2 separate regions of the Mus musculus genome follow, and region 2 is reported to be linked to region 1. The links are microRNA targets in miRTarBase. Many come from high-throughput screens and were not tested one by one. Region 1 holds a microRNA gene; the other region holds the end of a gene's coding sequence.
The links. The annotated mature microRNA mmu-miR-3470a reads UCACUUUGUAGACCAGGCUGG and lies in region 1 at 1,195-1,215, shown strand. An mRNA with a match to its seed (bases 2 to 7 or 8) in the 3' UTR can be bound and repressed. Matches are read on the target gene's strand: a 7mer-m8 pairs with bases 2 to 8, a 7mer-A1 pairs with bases 2 to 7 and ends in A, and an 8mer does both.

Region 2: miRTarBase lists Lrrc14b as a target of mmu-miR-3470a. Seed matches in the 3' UTR shown: 8mer at 2,041-2,048.

Annotation. Positions count from the first base shown.
Region 1 is chr6:83,088,426-83,091,574 of GRCm38, reverse strand. It overlaps Mir3470a (microRNA 3470a), which reads left to right and starts at 1,188; the gene lies at 1,188-1,264.
Region 2 is chr13:74,358,223-74,361,222 of GRCm38, forward strand. Lrrc14b (leucine rich repeat containing 14B) reads right to left here. Exons shown (of 2, transcript NM_001033042.3): 2 at 1,360-3,000. The coding sequence ends at 2,532. It overlaps Ccdc127 (coiled-coil domain containing 127), which reads left to right. Exons shown (of 3, transcript NM_001168659.1): 3 at 1-1,446. Among named protein-coding and RNA genes, the nearest start is that of Lrrc14b, 4.3 kb to the right of the region's middle.

The DNA.
Region 1 (3,149 bases):
TCTCACACTCAAAAAGATCCGTCTGCCTCTGCCTCCCAAGAGCTGGGATTAAAGGTGTGCACCACCCTGCCCAGTTCATCATGTTATTATTATTATTATTATTATTATTATTATTATTATTATTATTATTTTTGAGACAGGGTCTCACATTGACCCTAGATCTTGCCATCTTGGCTAGGGTGGCTCAGCGGTGAGCTTCCAGGATCTGCTTACCTCAGCCCATGAAGTTGGGGCTTCAGATGCGTGCAGCCGTACTCAACTTAACATGAGTGCTGGGGATTTGAACTCAGATCCTGTTGCTTTCACACAGGCTGCTCTTACCCACAGAACTGTCTTCCTGGTCTACACTGCACATTTTTTCTAGGGTCACCAGAGTGGACATCCATCCAGAGCCCACCTTAGTGTGTTTATTTGTTTTGAGACAAAGTCTCCTTTAGCCTGGAATAGTTTAAACTCACTATGTAATCAAAGAAGACCTAGAAACTATGATTTTCCTGCTTCTACATGGTAAGTCCTGAGTGTCAAGCCTCTACCACCACGTCTGACTTACCCAAGCTCTCTGCCAACAGGGCTACATGCCAAGGCCCATTTATTTGGCTTGGTTTTAGTTTGTATTTTGAGACAGGGTCACACTTGCACTGCTGATACCCTGGCTACCATCTCTCTCAGAGATGGACGTCACAATTAGCTCTCTCCCCCGCCTCCCTCCCCTCTCCTCCGTTGCTGGGAACAGAGTAATATAGAACTGAGGGTTGTATCTAGAACAGACAGGGAAGGGGCTGGGATGAGGGAGGGTGAGCATCCATCAAGCTAAAGGGTACAACTTGAGCCTTATCCAGCATGTGTTATATATAGTTCAGCCTGGCCTTGAACTCATAATTTTTCTTAGATTCCTAATTAATCAGATGACAGGCTCACACCATCACACCTTCCTTCTGGTTGCTGGTTTGTTATCCAAGGCTGGAGTGTAAGGGGAGGTGGTACCAGCTGGACAAGAAAGTAAGGAACACTGTTGATGTTGATGGCTCAGTACCAGCTAACAAGACTCCGTTGCCTCAGCTAAAATGATTTGTCCTGAAGCTGTTGGGGGCATGGGCTGGGGAGAGGTGGCAGTTTAGTTTGAGGGCATTTATTTGTTTATGGTTTTATTGAGACAGGGTTTCTTTGTGTAATAGAGCCCTGGCTGTCCTGGACTCACTTTGTAGACCAGGCTGGCCTTAAATTCACAGAGATCAGCCTGCCTCTGCCTCCTGAGTGCTGGGATTAAAGGCATGGTAACCACACCCAGTAGCTCAGGGATTATTCTTCCATTAGTAACTCCTTAAGAACTGTTCATCCAGCATTCTTGGTTTGTGGTGGTTGGAAGGTCAAGCTGCGTGCTTCAGGGGCCCTGCTAGAACTCCTCCTGGTCTCTCAAGAGTGCCTCCTTTCACTGTGGGGTATTTTAGCCTTCGGCTATGTCCAGCTTGTTTTCTTACCCTGTTCTGGGGACTAAACCCTGTCCATTTAGCTAAATCTCCAGCTCCATGGACAACCTTTTTACGTTATGAAATGGCACTGCTGTCCATGAAATCAAAATACCAGCTAAGGAGATAGGGAGTCAGTTAGTCATCTAAGGACCTGCATATGAAGCCTGGCTCAATGCAGTGCCATCCTATTGCTGGAGAGGCAGAAATTTGGAATCCTGGGACTCACTGGTCAGCCAGCCCATTGAAGCAGTGACCTATAGGTTCAGTAAAAGATGCTGTCTCAGCCGGGCGGTGGTGGCACACGCCTTTAATCCCAGTACATGGGAGGCAGAGGCAGGCGGATTTCTGAGTTAAAGACCGGCCTGGTCTACAGAGTGAGTTCCAGGACAGCCAGGACTATACAGAGAAACCCTGTCTCAAAAAACCAGTTCCAAGTGATCCAACACCCTCTTCTGGAAATGTAGGTACCAAGCAACCAAGCACTCTCTCTCTCTCTCTCTCTCTCTCTATATATATATATATATATGTATATGTATATATATATATATATATATTCAAAACACTCATATACATAAAATGAAAATAAACCAATCTAAGAATAAAAGTGTGCTGGGCATGTTGGCCCACACCTTTAGTCCTATCAGGAGGTAGAGGTAGGAAGATCTCTGAGTTCCCAGTCACCCTGGTCTACAAAGTGAGTTGTGTGACAGCCAAAGTTACACAGAGAAACCCTGACTCCAAAAAAAAAAAAAAAGCAACAAAGCAAGCAAACAAAAGCGTGTGTGAGAAAAGGTGAAGCCGTGTTTTCCCACCTACAAGGGCAGTGTCTTGACACCAGACTAAAAGTCCATTCAGTTGGTCTGTCCCACTGATCAATTCACACAAAGCACTCAGATCTTGTGTGAAGACACCAGAATCACGCCCGCCTTTCAGTCTCACTTATTCTCCCCTGAGTTTCCTCTCCTTGGCCCTCCACTCGCTGTCCGAGGTTCTAGCTGCATGGTGGTCTCTTAAAAACTGACAGGGTGGGCCTCTGGCCCCTCAGTGCTCCCTGTCCCTCCCCAGTCAGTGCCTTTGCAGGAGGATAGTGATTAATGGCCAGCAAAAAGGGAGGTCAAAGCTGAAGGTCCGAGATGTCATCAGTGGGGCCAGGTTAGGATGCTCTTGTGACAGTCACAGCTACTTTGACCTCCTCTCTTCAGTCTCACCCCAGGTTCCCATACCTGGGCAGAGGTAGAAGTGGATAGTGCTCTCTTTCCAGACTCTGGGGTGTCACAGTGTCTCATCATAGAGGTTTTGTTTGTTTGTTTAGTGTGGTGTGTGGGGGTGGGGGGCGCGCGTAAGCGCGAGTGCGCTGTGATATAGGCTGACTTAGAACTCTTGATTCTCCTGCCCCCCACCCCACCTTCTAAGTGCTGGGATCACAGGTGTGCACCTACACTAAGCTTACTATGGCTTTCTTAATGCAGGAAACCTAGTAAAAGTTTAATTAAGAGTAGAAGGCTCACATTATCATATAGGGGCCAACCTAAAGGTTAGTACTGAGGTCTCCAAGGCTGCAAGCCTTGGGAACAAAGGTAGCCAGTAGGGGGTAGTGGCCGGAAGCCACCACTAGAATCCTACCCACTTCCTCTCCATCCAGTGTCTCCAGAGGTGAAAGACAAGCCAGGTCTCTGAGGA
Region 2 (3,000 bases), not on the chromosome of region 1:
ATGTAGAAGAATCTAGAGGGAGCCAGATGGAGCCACCAGGGGTTACACTGTGGAATCCCAGGGAGCATTGTTTAGTTTAGGGGTATAACTAGAAACACAACAAATTCCCAGGAAAGCTCACTGGAGACTATCAAGATTTTGATAGAGTGAGATCTATTCATGTGACCTTTCACAGCAGTTCCATTCCCACAGGAAGGCAAGTGGTAGAAGTCACTCATAGTCTGTAAGCAGTTTAGGTATGGTGAATCACTCTTGCTAGTTACCAGCACTGGGAACTCCCAGCATCTAGACACCTATTAGGGACTAGCCTTGTGTGAGGATGCACTATGAAGTCTGTTAAGTGAGCTTTCCCACATAGCCTTATTTTACAGAGGATGGGGATAGAGAGCCTTAATATGGAGAAAGCAATCTGTCTAGGTCATAGGTAGTATTTTGTGGAGTGGATCTGAGTTGGGTGTTTGATTTACAGACATTGGAACCTGTGTGTGGTTATTTGTCAGTAGCCATGCAGGAAGTGAACAAAGTAGTCAGTTTGTGTTCAGATCCTATATTCTACCCTGTGCATATCTTTCTGTGTAGAGAGATGGCAAACTTGAAAATACTTACCCAGAAAACAGTTCAGTTATAGAATGGTTAAGGAGCACTTGGCCCGCTTCCTATTCCACATTTAGTTTTCAGAACTACCTTGACAGAGCTGATAGCAGGCACTCTGAGCAGAAGCCAGGTAATTCCACCTTCAGATAAAGCTCTTGTCCGTAGCTATTTACCATGTCTTTCTGCTGTATTACCAGTCTTTTGAGAAGTTATTTTTTTCTAGTACATCTAAGAAACAGTTTTTTAAGATTGTGTTTCCTAATTCATTAGACCATTGAAGGAAGCCACATAGGCTCTAGTTTTCTGTTACTCCACTGGTTTGCCCATGTGATCTTGGACAGACCACCTCATGGCTTTCTCTAAGATTTATCTTTTAAAATGACACATTTTCCAGGGGAATCACATCACTGTTTGAGTCTGTGGCATGCCCGCCTTCCATCCTAAGTATGCTTTCTGTCTTTTTCAACTGAAAATGTTAGTAGCATATTTTATTGCTGTTCGGGGTCAAGTGGAAGTAGACAGACCTTGGGGGTAGAGACAGCACAGGAGGATCTGGAATGGTTTACCTGTGAGAGGAGGTCCTGAAATGGGGAGGTACCTGAGAAGGGTCACATGGAGAAGGACTACAAGTGGGAGTCAAGTCCCTTGGTTGGCACACGGATGGTTATAGAGCTAAGTTTTTTACTTCAGTCACAAAAGAATTATTTTCACACTCTTAAGTTTTAAAGTTTAGATTATTACGTAAATAAACTGTACATGAGTTTAGCCACACTCCTATTTTATTAGCATTTCATTACAGTAGTACTTTGGCAAAGCAAATACTGGAAATAAAGTCTAAACGAGTCTTTCTTACGTGATGATTTGTTTCTCAAAGGAGTTGCAAAGGGCCAGGCCTCAGCCATTCTGAGGAGGAGCAGTGATTCGTGTGCCTTATAGATATGTTAACATTTACAAAGCTCATTCTTGAAAACTGAGTCACGAGTTTCAAAAAAATCATCTCAGTGTCTTCAGTAAGTTTCCAACTTTGTAATGCGCTACGTTCATAGCTATCCTCTGTCACATGTGACTGCATAGACTGTTCAGGTTAGACATGCCTGTCTTACAGTCTGAACTCTAAGCAGAAAGCAGATCAGAGTATGCCAAGAAACACTGGGCATATTTCAGTGACTAGATGTCCTCAGTCACCAAAAGACGATAAAAATCTGCTGCAGGTGGAAACAAAGCCCAAACAGCCACCGATAGAAAACTGATCATCACCCCATCCCCCACATTTCTGTGTAGCCGATGTCATCTGGTAAAATACACAGCAGATAGAACATAACTAAACTGCTAGCTCAGGGGTCTGGTTCATTTTTATTTTCAATGTCTTTTTTTTGTTTGTTTGTTTTTTGTTTTTGGTTTTCCTCAAGACAGGGTTTCTCTGTGTAGCCCTGGCTGTCCTAGAACTCACTTTGTAGACCAGGCTGGCCTCAAACTCAGAAATCCACCTGCCCCTGCCTCCCGAGTGCTGGGATTAAAGGCGTGCGCGACCACGTCCGGCTCAGTGTCTATTTTTTATGAGCTGCTGTTTCTATACATTTTGATATACATGTGGTGAATTTTCTCATTTCTTCCCCTCACAGCATCAGAGCTAAGTAGTTGACCCTGTTCCCACTACATCCTGCCCTGGTGACCACATTCTCCACCTTCTGTCTTGGTGTAAGGTGGCTTCTCCTCTGCTTTAAGATCTTGCTGTGCTAACACACAGGAGCACCTCATGTCTCATTTATGTATCTGGCTTCCTCTTAGAGCACGTAACGAGTACGCCTGCAGTTTTCTCTGAGGAAATCTTGTGGCAGTGTTGCTGCTGGTGACAAATGGTTGAGCCTGATCATCTGGTCCAGGACTGACCTCAGGGCACTAGAAATGCACAGCCTCTTACAGCACGATTCCAGGACCTACTCCATTTGTTCTAGTGCTCTGGAAAAGTTTTCCAAAGCAGTTTTGAAAGCTTGCAGCAAAAAAGTACCAAGTTCATTGCTGGTTTCATGAATGTCTGGATCAAAACTTCCAAAAAGTGGGGTGGAGACCTGGATGTCCTCCCGGTTAGCTCGAAGCAGTACTGCTCGAAGATCCTCTGCAATCACGTCGTATTTCTGTTGGTCGAATTTGGACACTGACAGTTCATCCTGAGGGTAGATGGCACCCTCGGGGTAGCAGTCCTTTGGTACTGGGAACTCAATATGGCGAAGCCTAGGGAGTTCGCAGAGTGCAGCAAAAAGGCGCCGGAGAGCACTGCCTGAGAGCGGGTTTCCAAGAAACTTGAACTGCTGGAGCTGGCTGCAAGGGCTAAGGCCCAGAATCATCATGTTAACATGGCTGTCTGTGATGTTGCACTCCTCGAGGGTGAGCACTCTCAGTGTTTGG